Linked DNA regions of Ovis aries. The protein of the gene in region 3 interacts with the protein of the main gene of each other region in a pairwise test. Links are inferred from orthologs where the notes say so. Each region holds a gene or a part of one and is shown on either strand. Other genes may lie near its edges. The genes, in order: PTPMT1, OTX1 and RGS20.

The links.
Region 1: the proteins of RGS20 (region 3) and PTPMT1 interact in binary tests that used the Homo sapiens proteins (3 or more experiments, as listed by UniProt). The two-hybrid records come from large-scale screens. The link is inferred for Ovis aries from reciprocal best matches to the Homo sapiens genes RGS20 and PTPMT1.
Region 2: the proteins of RGS20 (region 3) and OTX1 interact in binary tests that used the Homo sapiens proteins (3 or more experiments, as listed by UniProt). The two-hybrid records come from large-scale screens. The link is inferred for Ovis aries from reciprocal best matches to the Homo sapiens genes RGS20 and OTX1.

The regions. Positions count from the first base shown.
Region 1 is NC_056068.1:76,296,710-76,302,492, forward strand, and holds the start of PTPMT1 (phosphatidylglycerophosphatase and protein-tyrosine phosphatase 1), read left to right. Parts: upstream 1-1,736; 5' UTR 1,737-1,757; coding exon 1,758-2,129; intron 2,130-2,238; coding exon 2,239-2,319; intron 2,320-4,777; coding exon 4,778-4,969; intron 4,970-5,783. UniProt on the Homo sapiens protein: Lipid phosphatase which dephosphorylates phosphatidylglycerophosphate (PGP) to phosphatidylglycerol (PG).
Region 2 is NC_056056.1:45,198,104-45,202,451, forward strand, and holds part of OTX1 (homeobox protein OTX1), read right to left. Parts: intron 3,349-4,348; 5' UTR 3,238-3,348; coding exon 3,141-3,237; intron 2,174-3,140; coding exon 2,022-2,173; intron 1,426-2,021; exon of another isoform or gene 831-1,425; coding exon of another isoform or gene 777-830; coding exon 1-776. UniProt on the Homo sapiens protein: Probably plays a role in the development of the brain and the sense organs. Can bind to the BCD target sequence (BTS): 5'-TCTAATCCC-3'.
Region 3 is NC_056062.1:34,890,310-34,896,268, forward strand, and holds the start of RGS20 (regulator of G-protein signaling 20), read left to right. Parts: upstream 1-2,042; 5' UTR 2,043-2,116; coding exon 2,117-2,289; intron 2,290-5,959. UniProt on the Homo sapiens protein: Inhibits signal transduction by increasing the GTPase activity of G protein alpha subunits thereby driving them into their inactive GDP-bound form.

The DNA.
Region 1 (5,783 bases), on a different chromosome or scaffold from region 3:
CCATGGCAGCAGTGAGGCATGGGCTCCATCTCTGGTCAAGGAAATCAGGTCCCACACACCCCATGGCAGCAGCCAAATCAAAGGAACGAGACAACAAACATGGTGGCAAAAATTTTACCAAAACGACACCAGTGATTTTTTAAATGGTGTACATAAATCACACGGCACTATTATACGACTCCAAAATCCCATGCCTGGATAGGCATCCAAAAAATTGAGAACTTAAGACCGCAGAAAAACTTGTATACAGAAACAGAAAGTAAACTCATGAGTGCCAAGACCTGGCGGGTTGAGGGAAAACAGGGCGTGATTATGCTAATTGGTGTAGAGTTTCTTTGGGGGATGATGAAAGTATTCTACAATTGATGGTGGTGATGGTTGTACAACTCTGCAAATATACTACAAGCCATTGAACTGTACACTTTAAATGAATAAGTTGTATGGTATGTGAATTATATCTCAATAAAACTATTATAAAAAATTTAATGATAACACATGAAAAGAAAAAAATGTGCTTGAGGTGGTAGGATTATGGGTGATTAAATTCTGCTTTCCTGTATGTTCCGGTCGTTATTCATATGTGTCATTTGTACAAGGAGAAAAGCTGTTTTAAAAAGCACAAGATGTGGAGAAGGAAATGGCAACCCACTCCAGTATTCTTGCCTGGAGAATGCCATGGACGGAGGAGGGCTACAGTCCACGGGTCACAAAGAGTGGGACATGATTGAGCAAGAGAAAAAAAAGCACAAGATGTACTTTTTCAGAGTGCTATTTAACTGTAAATAATCAGTGTGACAACTATTCCTCTTGCTTATTTGCAGGTTGTAGGTTTTATGTTTATCATAATATATATATATTTTAAACCTTTATTTAATTTTTGGTCTAGCCTCTGCAAGGCTGTGGGATCTTATTTCCCTGACAGGGATGGAACTGGTGCTGCTTGCACTGAGGGCACAGTCTTAACCACTAGATCGCCAGAAAACTACCTATGATGATATTTTTAATATTAATATATCTTCATAAATAGAACAGATATCACTTATATCTATTTTTCATTTGAAAAGACCCTGATGCTGGGAATGATTGAAGGTAGGAGGAGAAGGGGATGACAGAGGATGAGATGGTTGGATGGCATCACCGGCCCAATGGACATGAGTTTGAGTAAACTCTGGGGAGTTGGGGGTGGACAGGGAGGCCTGGCGGGCTGGAGTCCATGGGGTCGCAAAGAGTCGAACACAACTGAGCGACTGAACTCAACTGATATCTATTTTTCACTATGTACACACACACACATACTTACTGCAGTTTAGTTAGGAGGCGGGAGCCAGGACTCCAGGCAGATGTGGGGATGGGGTGGGAAGGGCCGGACGAACCCAGGTCCCCTGTTTGTCCAGGATCAGGCCCCTCTCCTTACTATCCCTTCGGCTCTGAGCTCTGGACTCCCTGGCCGAGAGCCTCTTCCCGGTCCTGTCCCGCCCTTCGGTGGGGTCAGCGTCCCCTCGCTCTGGCCGGTGGTTGGCGAAGGTGCCCCGGGCTCACCGGCCGGGGTCACAGTTGCACCCGCCCGCTGGAGTCACAGCCCCTCCCTCGGGAGGCGGGGGCTCACTAGCCACGGGCCGGGGTCGCAGTTTCCCACACGCGGCAGACTCGCCGCCTCGGGTCCGCGGGACGGGCCCTCCCCCGGCCCGGGGCCCCGTTTCCCGCCCGGGAAGCCCGGGCCCCTCCCCACGGCGGCCGGCGGCCCCTCCTCCCGAGCCATGGTGTGGGTCCCCGGGGCCCCCGGCGAGTCCCCGGGGGCCGGGCCCGAGGTCGCGACGCTCGAGAGGCCCGCGCCGGCCGGGTGGTCCTCGCTGGGGGCCGCGGCCGCCCCGCCGCCCCCCTGGCCCGGCCCGCGGACGCCCGCCTCCTGCCCGGCGGTGGGCGGGTCGCCGCTGCGCCGCGCCGGCTGGGCCGGGATGGCGGCCGGCTCGTTGCTGGAGGCCGGCCTGGCCCGGGTGCTCTACTACCCGACGCTGCTCTACACGCTGTTCCGCGGGAAGATGCCCGGCCGGGCGCACCGCGACTGGTACCACCGCATCGATTCCACCGTGCTGCTGGGCGCGCTGCCGCTGCGGAGCATGACGCGCCGGGTGAGCCGGGCGGGGCCGGGCCGGGCCGCGGCGGGGCCTGCGAGCCCGGCGAGCGCCGCCCGGGCCTCGGCCGCCCGCCCCTTTCTGAGCCCTCTCTTTGCCTCGGCAGCTGGTCCAGGACGAGAACGTGCGCGGGGTGATCACCATGAACGAGGAGTATGAGACGAGGTTTCTGTGCAACTCCTCCAAGGTGAGGCTCCGGGCCCGGCGCCCCGCCCGCCACCCCTCTACCACTCCGGGGTCTGGGCGAGCCCGGAGGGGGTTCGGGGGAGGCTGTGCTGTAGGTGACCTTGCCGCAGACACGAGCGTCCCAGGCTTGTTTTTTTTTTCTGTTTTTTTTTTGCCTCTGAGGAGCTGGTCCTGCGGCTAGAGGAGGGTAGAAACTAATTTGCGAATTAGAAATTGATGTGAAAGGTATTTCACAGTAGAGTTGCCCAACTTCGATTACTCCTTTCTGCGCACGTGTGTTCTCGGTTTTGGTTACTCACATCAGTAACTAGAACTTTAAAGGCAACGTTTCTCTTTGGGCTACGCCTCGCAGCCTGTGGAATATTAGTTCCCCAATCAGGGATCAAACCTGCGACCCCAGCAGTTGAAAGAGCAGAGTCCTGACCATCGGACCACGAGGGAAGTCCAGAAAGGCAACTTTTCTCTGCCTTGCTTTCATTCATTCAACACTTAATGAGCACTAAGTATGGATCGGACACTGTTCGATATTCAAGACGAAGGCCCTATAAACTGTAAAAAAGAAAGCTACCCCCAATCCCTGATAACTGTATCATAAAACTCTTTGTAAAAACTGCATAGAATTCATTTGGTTTTTATTTGAGGGAATTTCATTTATATGTTAGAGATGATAGTGGAACTCCAAAGCATGGTGATAAATGCAGTTCAAGCCTAAAACCTAGTTTTCGTTAGATGTGAGTGGTTTTTTGGTGGAACTCTCCATGATGGTTATTAGGTGTTGCCCTGTCTTTCTAGTGTTTGACTTCTATTAGCACTGCACAATTATCTTCCCTGTTCACTGTACTGATAGAGCCTAATGAACATGCAGTTATTTCAAACCATAGATCTTTTTTGAAATCTAAAAAAATAATTGTGACTCACATTTAAAATCTATTGATCAGTGATGGCATACATTTTTAAAGAATAGATAGCAGTTCCTTGGATTTCCCACAGAACCTCAGGAGTTATTAGCCAAAAAGCATTGTTAGCCTCAGTGTGGTCGGTCCTGTGGAGCAAGCCACAGAAAGTGCTTGGTCTCTGGGTGTGAGGCATCGAGATCTGCTATCTTCTCTCACTAGCCTAGAGAAAAGAAATCTCCAAGGCAATGGTTCTGATATTTTAATACGGCTAAACATTATCTAGTAGTAGTGGTGTTAGTCACTCAGTCATGCCCAACTCTTTGCAGTCCTATGGACTGTAGCCCACCGGGCTCCTCTGTCCATGGAATGCTCCAGGCAAGAAGACTGGAGTGGTTTGCCGTTCCCTTCTCCAGGGGATTTTCCTGACTGGGGGATTGAACCCCTGTCTCCTGCATGGCCACCTGATGCAAAGAACTGACTCATTGGAAAAGACCTGATGCTGGGAAAGGTTGAAGGCAGGAGGAGAAGGGGCCGCAGAGGGTGAGATGGCTGGTCGGCATCACTGACTCGATGGACATAAGTTTGGGAGTTGATGATGGACAGGGAATCCTGGCGTGCTGCAGACCATGGGGTCGCAGAGTCGGACACAACTGAGTGACTGAACTGAACTGACTGACTCCTGTATTGCAGCAGATTCATTACTGTCTGAGCCCCAGGGAAGCCCCAGGGAAGCATTATCCAGCTGTCTGTTAAGACAGCACATTCCTAGGTTCAACTCTCAGGAACTTTAAATCACTGCCTAAGAATGTGACTAAGTAGCAGGCTCCCCAAGTGTTTGATGTAATTGATGTGTAAAAACACACTGCCAGATTTTGCTGTTTTTGGTTAATTTCGTGAGCTGTGTAATGTATTGACCTTCATTCAGAGTCATGTGTCTGATTTGCTGAAGAGATTAATAACAAAAAGTCTACCTGAAGTCTTATGGCAAAAAATTAAAAAGTTGCCCAGTTTGCCAGAGGCCTTATTTCTTCTGTTGATTCTTTTCTTCCTTCTAAGCAGTAATATTGCACTAACAAAAGTAGGTGCGTTATTTAAATTTTAAAATAACTCTTATTTTCTACCACATACCCCTCTCCAAAAAAGTGGTAAAAAAGAGAAGACTTATGGGCAGAGAAATAGAAGGCCTTGCAACCTTCTAACCTAACCCTGCAGCTGGATCACTGCACAAGCGCCAAAGTCACGCAAAAAAAACTTGACGCAGCTCTTGTAGATGAATTTTATACAGTTTGTGTTTTGTTGCTAAAGATTCAAATACTAAGAATGCTTTAAAGCTTGGGCATAATTCTAACTCAGAAGCATTGCTGTGTGATGAAAGACCATGTAAGTCAGTCATTTTAAAGACATTTCTGAAAGAAGTTTCTTTTTAGGCAAGCATATACCGCATATATTACCATTCACCACGAACCTTCCTTGCTGCTTTGCTGTCTCACAGGAGTCCCTCTTCCTGCCACTCACATCAGGCGTTTTTCATTTTCTTTTCTGTGCTGGCGGACCTGGCCCCAGGAGTGGGAGAAGGCAGGAGTGGAGCAGTTGCGGCTCAGCACGGTCGACATGACTGGGGTCCCAACCCTGGCTAACCTCCAGAAAGGAGTCCAGTTTGCCATCAAGTACCACTCACTGGGCCAGTCTGTCTACGTGCACTGCAAGGCTGGGCGTTCCAGGAGTGCCACTATGGTGGCTGCGTATCTCATTCAGGTAGGAGAGGGCCTTCTGGACTGGTGCCCCCCGCCCCACCTTGTTTCTAAAAGCAATCTGATTTTTATTTTACTTTATTATTTTTAAAATTTTTATCTTTTGGTTGCACTGGGTCCTCGCTGCTGACTGCAGGCTTTCTCTAGTTGCTGTGAGTGGGGGCTCCTCTTCATCGAGGTGCACACGTTTCTCACTGTGGTGGCCTCTTTTTTATTGCCGAGTATAGGCACTGTACTCTGTACATTGTACTTGGGTTTCACAGCTGGCGCTAGTGGTAAAGAACCCACCTGCCAATGCAGGAGACATTAAGAGACCTGGGTTCGATCCCTGGGTCGGGAAGATCCCGTGGAGAAGGGCATGTCAACCCACTCCAGTATTTTTGCCTGGAGAATCCCATGGTCAGAGGAGCCTGGCGGGCTACAGTCCACGGGGTTGCAAAGAGTCGGACACGACTGAAGCGACTTAGCACGCACCCACAGGCACTAGGGCCCAGGGGCTTTAGTAGTTGGAGCTCCTGGGCTCTAGAGCACAGGCTCAATAGCTGTGGCTCTTGGGCTTAGTTGCTCTGCATCATGTGGAATCTTCCCGAACTAGGGATCAAACCCATGTCCCCAGCATTGTCAGGTGGATTCTTAACCACTGTACCCCCAAGGAAGCCCCTCTTTTTGTTTTTATTTTGGCTGTGCTGGGTCTACACTGTAGCTCGTGAGCTTCTCTCGTTGCAGGGTGGACTTATTTGCCCTGCAGCCCGTGGGATCTTAGTTCCCCAACTGGGAGTGCATCCACATTGCCCACATGGGAAGGTGGACTCTTTACC
Region 2 (4,348 bases), on a different chromosome or scaffold from region 3:
AGACAGTCAGGTGAGTTGAAGTTGAGTTTCCAAGCAGAGGATGCGGCGGCAGCGCCAGGCTCCTTGTAATCCAAGCAGTCGGCAGAGTTGAAGGCGAGCCCCGAGCCGCCGTAGCCCTGGTGGTGGTGGTGGTGGTGATGGTGGTGGTGGCCTGAGGACTGGCTCAGCGGGTGGTGTGCGTGGGGATGGTGGTGATGGTGGCTCGCCATGGAGGAGGGTGCCATAGGGCTGAGCTGGTGCGGGTGGTGGTGCGAGTGCATGGGCGCTAAATACGAGCTGCAGTCCACGCCGCCAAAGTAGGAGGAGGAGGGCGCGGGGTAGCCCTGGCCATAGCTGCCGCCCTGGCCGTAGGACATGGGATAGGAGGCTGCGGCCGAGGCAGCTCCTGCGGCTACCGAGCGCTGCATACACGATGCGTTGCTGGGTGCAGCCAAAGGCTCGGGCATCGACACTGAAGCCGGCGCTGAGCCGGGCGAGATGGAGGCCGGACTCCAGATGGAGGAAGCAGCAGGCGTACTCAACGATGACGGGACCGCCACCGCCGGGTTCCCGCCCAGGCCTGCAGCCGCTGCCGCCGCGGGGTTAGCTGAGGCGCTGGATGCGGAGCTGGAGGACGAGGCGGAACTGGAGACAGCAGGCGGCGTGAACTGGCCGCTGCTTTCGGAGCCCGAGCTCTCCCGCACCGGGGACGACTTTTTCTTTGCTGGGCGGCTCTTGGTCCCACTCCCGCTCTGCTGCTGCTGACGGCATTTGGCGCGGCGGTTCTTGAACCAGACCTGCGGCAGGCCGAGTGGGGAAGAGCGTGTGAGGGGGCGAGTAGAGTTTGCCATTCCCCTGCCTCTTGGACCAACTCCGGCCTAGCAACCCCATCCCTCTCCGATCGACGCCTCCACCCTTCCCCATCTCCGGCCCGGCCAGACCCTGCATTCGCTGCTCCACCCTCCCCCATCCTTCTGCTCAAAGACCCTCCTCTGGCAAAGTAGGGATGTGCACCTCCCCACCCCCACTCCCAGCTCAACTCTGTTGGAGGGCGGAACATTTGTGTCTGTCCAGCCAAAAGTTCAGCCATCTCTAAACTGCTGCTGTTGGCCGCTTCCCAACAGACCTGTGAATGCATGGAGGCCCTGTCTTATGTGAATAGAGCCCGGGAAACTGCAGCGAGGCACAGAGCAGGCCGCGGAATGGGGGGCAGCCACCAAATCTAAGCCGGAGCCACTCTGCCCCAAGGAGGCCTGGTGCTGGGCCGGCAGAGAATTTGGGTGGGAGCAGGAAGCTGAATTAGAGGGGGATTACGGAAGGAAGCCTGAACATAATTTCGTTGAACTTCTTGGCTCCAAGTGGGGAACCAAATAAGACAGTCATAAAGTTCTCACTCCTCTCGGAAGGCCCGGGTACAAGACATGGCATTCCTGTTCTCTCGAGCCTCTGGGAGGAAAAAGGCAAGATAAAAGGCCTTTGAGAAGAGTTCTGAGTTATGACCTGATCAATATTTTCGGGTCCCTTTCATCTGTCACACACACACACACCCAGAAACAGCAAAGCTAGTAGCCAGATTTTGCGTTCAGCATCCTCTCAGAGCAAAGAAAAAGGTCTAATCACACTGCCGCCACCCGTGGGGCACACTTCCAGACAGAGGACCAGGCTTTGGCCAAGCCCCACTCTTTCATTTCCAGGATTCCCGGGATGCAAGGCCAGGGCAGAGGCAGAATTCAAGACCCGGTAGGAAACTGCCAAGCCCTGGGGTGGCCGAAGAGGCAGGGGACAAGTGTCGGGCTTGGCCTCCTGCAATCCTAAAAGAGACTTCGGAGAGGCGCCCCGGGGCCAACGGCCCAATTCAGGGCTCTAAGATAGTTCCTTTAATTTTGGCCCCTCTGCCAGGCCCGGGCCCAGCGCTAGGGGGAGTCTGAGAGGGGCTGCCCAGCCTGTAAGCCCGCCCCCACACCAGACCACTTCCCAACCAGGCCCTCTCTAACCAGCCCCAGCACCCCTCCCCGGACCCTGGAAATCCCCCGCGCGCGCACCTGGACTCTGGACTCTGGCAGGTTGATCTTGAGCGCCACCTCCTCACGCATGAAGATGTCTGGGTAGCGAGTCTTGGCGAAGAGCGCCTCAAGCACGTCCAGTTGAGAGCGCGTGAAGGTGGTGCGCTCGCGTCGCTGCTTCCGCGGGGTGGCTGAAGGGAAACGCGGGGGAGCGTCGGGTCAGTGGTGGCCACGCGGACTCGCGCTAGAGGATTTGGACAGGACCTTGGCAGGCCCTGGACCAGGTCGTTGCAAAAGAAAGCCGAGCTCCGAACGAGAAAAGAACTCCCCAGGGAGGCGAGCCTGACAGGCCACAGGTGGGAGAAACTGCAGGTGTGCCTGATCGGCACACCGACACTCCTGATTGTCTCCGACACGCCAGGGCTGACCCCTTCCCTGCCTCTCAGAGGTTAAGAAAGGAAGAGAAGTTATACAATCTTTCTTCCTTCGCTGCCCGCCCCCTGCCCCCCCCCCCCGTCCCCCGCCCTGCCAACACTCTCCCTGACTGGAGGGTGGGGAAGGGGTGTGCTGGAACGTCCTGAAAAACACTTTCCGAGGTAATAAGCGGAGGTGAAGAAACGGAACCTAGACAAGAGAGCCAGGATTTGGCTCAAGTCGTCCACGTCAACAGTGCAGAAGTTGGTGCAGGCCACCCATCTAAAGGACAATTTAATTATGGAGGGAGACTCCCGCTGCCTTACCTCTGCCAGCCGCTTTGCATAAGGCAAGCTCGGCCTTTCCTGTCAGGGCCAAGCGAGTGTCCATATTCCTCGTTCAGTGTTGAGGGGGAAAGGCATAGATTCTTTCAATCTCTCTCTCTCACACACACCCCACCCATGGGAAACGAATCCGTGGGTAAATGCGCTCTGTGCTGGCGGTGGGATGACAACTGGAGAGAAGTTGCCGGTGTTGCCGGGCTGGAGGGCTTACTTCTCATGTCTTAGCCACCCCGGCCCTACTTCCCGACCACGATCTGTCCTCCGAGTCAGCGCTCCCTGCAATGTAAGAGACTAGGCAACCGGTTCCCTGGGCCTAATCTGGGACAAAATTTGTGCTCAAACCCAGAGCTGGTGATTCCCCAGAGTTCTAAGGGAGGAGGGTGTAGGGGTCGATGCTCACCCGGATAGCCCACGGAGGGGTGTAGGAGGTCCATGGCTGGCCCGGCTAGACCGAGCCCATTCATACCATATGGGGGTTGTTTGAGGTAAGACATCATGCTAACAGCTGGGTGGAGGCGCCCCGACGGATCCAGGGGGCCGGGGGCCAGGCGCAGTGCGGGGCTCCCACTGCGCAGTCCTTCAAGCTCTGTTGCGTCTGGGGGCCCGGCCTATGGAGACAAATGACACACCGAAACTGTCATTCCAAGCCACCACTGCTTCCTGGTCTTGCCGGAGGAAGGAGTCACAGGATGGGGAGGTGACGCAGGCTATGGATCTGTGCAGAACTCGGCTCTATAAGGCCTTAGCCCGAAGACCACAGATTCTTTGAAAAGTAAAATTTCTGGATCATTATCACTTCTTTTCGGGCTTGGAATGGGACAGACACTCGTAGGGCGACGCTAGGAGTGAGGAGAGGTTAAAATCGGGGGCAACCTTGGGAGGTCAGAGCCCAAAACGCAGAGTGCGCTAGGTCCCAAGACTAGGCAAAAATCTGTTCGGGTGGGAGAGGGCATCACACCACACAAGCAAACATCCCCTCGACCTCAAGGCAGCAGGAGACCCAGAGCATGAGGGGTTGTTTCGTTTTGTTTCAAATGTTTTTGAAAGTGGAACGGACAGGTAGACTCCAGAGAGCCAAGGTGAGGCACAGCGGAGGGCTCGCGGCACCTGGGCCTCTCCGGGACGCATTGCTCACTGAGTACATCCTTCCAGAGTCTCCGCGGCTGGGTCCCACAGCCGCTCTACCAGTTTACCTCTCTGTGCCTGGCCGCTGAGAGATTGCTTACCCGGAATCCCACCCACACTTCTACCACCGATTCGAGCCCAGGTCCGGCCGAGGCGACCAGAAGGCGCCACCGTACAGGTGGCGGTTCAAACACGCCGCCCGGGATCACCCGCACCTCGCCACAGCCGCAGGCCGTGCTTCCCCAGAGCAAGCCAGTCCTGGCTGCGGACAATGGGGTCCCGGCCGGGGTCGAAAGGTGACCTGACCAGCGCCCCAAGGGTCTGGCGGATTTGGGAAGCCTCAGTGCAATAGGTCTGGTGCGCTTCCGGATTATTCTACTAGCTGAACCAGAGCCCGAGGACCCGATCCAGACTAGAGAACTAGGCCTCTGCGGCGTAGTTCGCGCTGCCCCGGGCAGGAAGGTCGACGCCTGGCTTCCCCAG
Region 3 (5,959 bases):
GCCGCCCCTCTACTTTATGTATCTAAGGAGTGGCCGATTCTGGATATCTTAGGAGGGGCATTATACAATACGTGATCTTTAGAGATTGGCTTCTCTCACTTCGTATATGTTCAGGGCTCATTCGTGTGTCAATACATATCAGTACTTCATTCCTTTTTACAGCTGAATAAATGTTCCATTGTGCGGATATACCTTTGTCTATCTTCCACTAGTTGATGGGCATGTGGGTTGATTTACAGTACTGGACACTTGCATGCAAGTGTTTGGTAAACATGTTTCACTTCTCTGGCTTCAGCGGATATCTACAAGGGAACTGCTACATTGAATGATAACCCTGTTTTCCAAAGGGAAGGTATCACTTTACATTCACCCCAGCAGTGTGTGAGGGTGCCAGTGCTTGACATCCTCACTAAAGCTTGTCATTGTCTGTCTTTTTGATTAAAGCCTACCTACTGGTATCTCCTTGGTGATTTTGACTTGGAAGTCAAAGATGCTGAGCATCTTTTCATATGCTTTTTGGCCATTTGCCTGTCTTCTTCTGAGAAACATCTGTTTACATAATTCACCCATTGCTAGTTTTTTTTTAAGAGCTCTTTATATATTCTGGATATAAGTCCCTTATTATGTATTTATGATTTGCCATATTTTACCCTATTTTGTGGGTGTCTTTTCACTCTTTTGATGATGTCCTTTGAAAAACAAAAGGTTTTCATTTTGATGAAATCCAGTTTGCCTGTTTTGTTTTGTTTTTTTTTGTCACTTGTGCTTTTTGGTATCATGTCTAAGAAGGCTTTGCCTCATCTGAGATCACAAATATTTTCTCCTAAGTTTCCTTTTAAAAGTTTTATAATCTTAACTCTTAAACTTGGGTCTATGATTGATTTCAAGTTAATTTTTTAACATGATGTGTGGTCCAACTTATGTTAGTTTTATATATCCATTTTAGGGGCCTGGGACTATGTTATGAAAGGAAGTTCTTTCAGTTCATAGTCCCCAGCAATGCATACCTGGGGTCCTTACCTCTGTACTCCTCCAGACCCAGCAGAAGCCACCTGGGCCTTAGATACCTTTGACCAAGGATCAAACCCAGGCCCCCTGCAGTGGAAGCGCAGAGACTTAACCACTGGACCACCAGGGAAAGTCCAATAATCTGATATTTATAAAGCACTTTACAAAAAGGAAGTATGATGTAGAAGCCAAGTTTTGACTTCATGGTTAGATGACTATCGCACAAGGAAATTACTTCAATTAATTCTGTGCTGTGCTGTGCTTAGTCACTCAGTCGTGTCCAACTCTTTGTGACCCCATGGACAGTGGCCCACTAGGTTCCTCTGTCCATGGGGATTCTCCAGAAAGAACAGTGGAGTGGTTTTCCATGACCACCTCCAGGGGATCTTCCCAACCTAGAAATCAAACCCAGGTCTCCTGCACTGCAGGTGGATTCTTTACCATCTGAGCCACCAAGGAAGTCCTCAATTAATTCTACAAGACATAAATAAAAAGTAATAATCTTTGAAGTGAAGTGTGGTTATGAGTTTAGCAAGCATTTCCAGCCACAAAGCTGACTGCTGCTAGAAGGACCTTTTACGAGACTGAGATAAAATGGCTCCTCTGCCTCTCGAGAGTATAGTCCAAATTTTTCACATATCACACACTACAAATGCAGAATATTACCACATGATTTATTTCCTTTATCACGATATACTAAGCAATATATCACTTGAATCATTTCTTTCAGTTTTGATTTAGCATTAAATTTGAAGTAGGAGTACATTGCTACCTGTAGAGCTGAGGAGCCTGATAGGCTACAGTCCATGGGGTCACAAAGAGTCTGACACAACTGAGCAACTTCACTTTCACTTCACTTGCAACCTGTAGAGGGCAGTCAGAACATACCGAGACTCTCATCCTGGAATAGAGCCCACGGACTGTGGATAAACTGCTGACCCACAACACAGATAATCCTCTTGCTTCGAGGGATGCGACTTTACAGGGAGGCCCCCAGCAGACGAAGCGATGGCCCAGCACCAGCCAAAGGAAGAGAAATAGAGTGGACCCTGGGCTGGTACCGTTAAAATCAAGCTACAGGATTCGATTGAGGCTTTATTGTAAAAACATGCCCAGGCTTTCCCAAGACAACCAACAGGGCCACCAGAAACATTTCTCCAGACCATCGAGGAGGATACGATTTCTGCCTCTGCCGTGGGCTGAGCCATATAATGTGAATGTTCACCAAACCGTGGAAAATGAAGGATGTGCCACAGCCACGCACAATGTCAAGGTAAGACCATCTCCCCAGTCCGTGACCGTTCTTGGCAAGGAAAGGGTTTATCCAGAAAGAATACAAAACCATAGGAAAGCTTTAGTGTCAGCGCTCACTTTACCTTATTGAAGATGTATCAAAAAGGCTTCCAAACTAAACCCAAGAGAAAAACTAGGACTTTGATAATAACCTGATTCTTCCAGTTTTCTCCAACATAAACAGCTTCCCTTTACAACAGCAAATGACTACATTTTGTTTGTTTCAGGAAGTAATGTCTTAAAAAGCAGAAAACCTAGCCATAGATTTCTATGGCTACTATCAATGCTTAGATATTCTGACATAAAAGTTATATCCCATATAGTAATGAAAAAAAATGGGCTTCCCTTGTGGCTCAGTCAGTAAAGGATCCACCTGCAATGCAGGAGATATAAGATATCCGGGTTCAGTCCCTGGGTTGGGGAGATCCCCTGGAGAAAGAACCCGCAACCCACTCCAGTATTCTTGCCTGGAAAATCCCATCGACAGAGGAGCCTGGCAGGCTATAGTCCGTGGGGTTGCAAGAGTTGAACACAACTGAGTGACTAAAACACCACCAATGAAAAAGTATAGATTGCTTTCCACCAAAATTGCTTGAGGGAAAAAAAAATTGGTAAAACTAATACAGGCATGAAAGACCATTTAGGAACTAAGGGTGTTTTTCCTAAAGTCATAGTTGCCTAGATGAATTTCTTAAGCATGAATTTCTATCAGTAGACAATGTGATTTCCCCGAAGAGTAACCATTTTCCTATTCAGCGTTGTGTGTATCTTTGCAGAAAGTACAGTTTAAGTCTGTCGATCCTCTTAACTATTAATAGAAACACCTCTTAAAAGGCTATTTAGTATGGAGGGGGATGGACATGTGTTAATGCCTGTGACCAATGATCAGAGCTCAGAAGTAAATGCTGATAAATTCTACAACCGCAGACCTGTCCAGATTCTGCAGCACTAGAAACTGTGCCTGTGCCTTCGCTCATATCCTCATAATAATCACGTATTTGCAGATTCTAATTATCTAGATCTGTCCTTTCCCCATAGTTTTTTTGTTTTATCTTTTGACTGCACCATGCAGCATATGGGGTCTAAGTTCCCAGACCAGGAATGGAACCTTGGTAGCATGGAGTTTTAACCATTGGACAACCAAGGAAGTTCCTCCCCAATCTTATTTTAACCAACTGGCACAAGGAGAAGTTGTTTGTTTGTTTGTTAAGTCATTGGGAAGCTTTTTCAATAGGAAGGTACTTGATTTCAGTGGTTCAATAGGAAGCTACACTTGATTTCAGTGGTTACACAAACCTTCTCATGTGTTAAAATTGCATAGAACTATACTCACCTGTCGGGCTTCCCAGGTGACTTAGTGGTAAAGAATTCACCTGCCAGCGCAGAAGATGTGGGTTCCATTCCTGGGTCAGGAAGATCCCCTGGAGAAGAAAATGGCAACCCCTCCACCACACACACACATACACACACGGGTGCATACAAACTTATGAAATCTGAATGAGCTCTTAGAATTATACCAGTGTGTCTCCTGGCTTTGATGTTGTACAATTTATGCAGTTTCCATTGGGTGGAACTGTGTGAAGAGTGTGTGGGACCACTGTGTGTACATTCTTTTGTGAAACTTCCAGTGAATCTATAATAATTTCAGAATTAAATGTGTAAAAAAAATCCTTCCAAAAGCAGGTTAGACTGAAAATAACAATTCATTTGTGTTGCATAAATGCGTTGTCTATTGTGGTTCTTCTTGCTATTCTTTTTTATTTGGATTCTTAACCAATTTCGTTAGGTCAGAAGTGCTGAGGTGGTCAAACCTTTTTTAGAGATGAGAAAGCATGTTTGTAAAAAACACTGTTACATGTGTGCAGTCAGCTCAGTGGTGATTCAAACCCATGTTTTTTCTGACACTGACTTCGTTACTAAGTCAATAGATTCTGGCTGTGCTTTAGAAGCAGGCTATAATTTCCCAGGCTGGAATCCAGCCTCCTCAGTAGTGATTTATCTGTGCATTCTGCCCAAAGAACCCAACAAAACTGCTAATTTACTACAAAATAAATTAACATCTCTCCACCTACACAGGCACACAGACAGACACACACTTATGAACTTGACTTCATTGGGATTATTTTTTCTCCACCAGGATTTCTGCTTCCTTCCATTCAGAGCACAGAGACCGAGTGGGAGAGGGGGTGCTCCCTGGACCAGGTGCTCTTTTTAGTGATAAAAGTGAGAGAGAGGAAACTTTACAGCCACCCTGGTGAGCAGTTATCTACCCATCCATCTGTCAGTACAGATAGATGCATACACATGTATGCATTCTTTCCCAGTAATAAAAGTGATCAGAGCTTAGACCAGAAAATTTTCCACATAAAATTATTTTTCACGTCCTTTTAATTGCTGTCCCTCTGAGAGTGCAGACTTTTAGGTGCTCTCCTGGTCCAGGTGTATGACCCCTTGAGAAGCCCATCAAAGCCCTTGCTGTGAGACATTACACACTGAAAGGAGAGAGAGAAACTCCAAGGCCCCCAAAGGTACCTACCAAGACAATGGAGTTTTTATGGCAAAAGCAGGGAGCAGAAAGAAGAAAGGAAAAATCTCTCAGCAAGAAAGAAATTAGGCTTCCAATATCCAGCACCATATACATATATATCGATGTATTCAGAAGACAAAGTTATCCTGTCCTGCCTCCAGTTGTGAAAGAGCGAGTTTCCCAAGGACAGAGTTGGTTCTTCCCTTTGTGAAGGCCCTGTGAAAAGAATTCTGTCATAATTAACAACTGAGAGGCTCATAAACTTGCCTAAGGAAAGGCTCATCTGGAAGTCTGTTGTGGTTACATCCTCCATCCTTGGTGAGCAATCCTCAGGGCCGCCTGCAGGTGATTCCAGGTGAGCAGAAGGAGGAGGGTTCCCCAGGCTCCGGACCCAGGAACTCTGAGTTCTCAGTGATCATAGCTACATTGTGTTCCTTTTATGGGGACCATAACAAAGCGTGTGGTGTCGTCCTTGGAAAGGTGTAAAGAGTTCTCCTGCTGCTCAGTTTTGGCTCACAGAAGCCAGGTCAGTGGTGTGGCATTAAGACCAAAACTATGGGAATCTTCCCTGGTGGCTCAGTGGTAAAGAATCCCCCTGCAATGCAGGAGATGCAGGTTCAATCCCTGGGTTGGGAAGATCCCCGAAAAAAGGGAATGGCTACCCACTCCAGTATTCATGCCTGGAGAATGCCACAGACAGAGGAGCCCGGTGGCCTACAGTGCTGCTGCTGCTGCTGCTGCTGCTGCTGCTGCTGCTGCTGCTGCTGCTGCTAAGTCGCTTCAGTCGTGTCCGACTCTGTGCGACCCCATAGAAGGCAGCCCACCAGGCTCCATCGCCCCTGGGATTCTCCAGGCAAGAACACTGGAGTGGGTTGCCATTTCCTTCTCCAATGCATGAAAGTAAAAAGTGAAAGTGAAGTCGCTCAGTCGTGTCCAACTCTTTGCGACCCCATGGACTGCAGCCTACCAGGCTCCTCCGTCCAAGGGGTTTTCCAGGCAAGAATACTGGAGTGGGTTGCCATTGCCTTCTCCGGGCCTACAGTGCATAGAGTCACAAAGAATCGGGCACAACTGAGTGACTTTCACTGTCGAGAGCAAAACTGTTGGGTACTTCTCTGGCAGTCCAGTGGT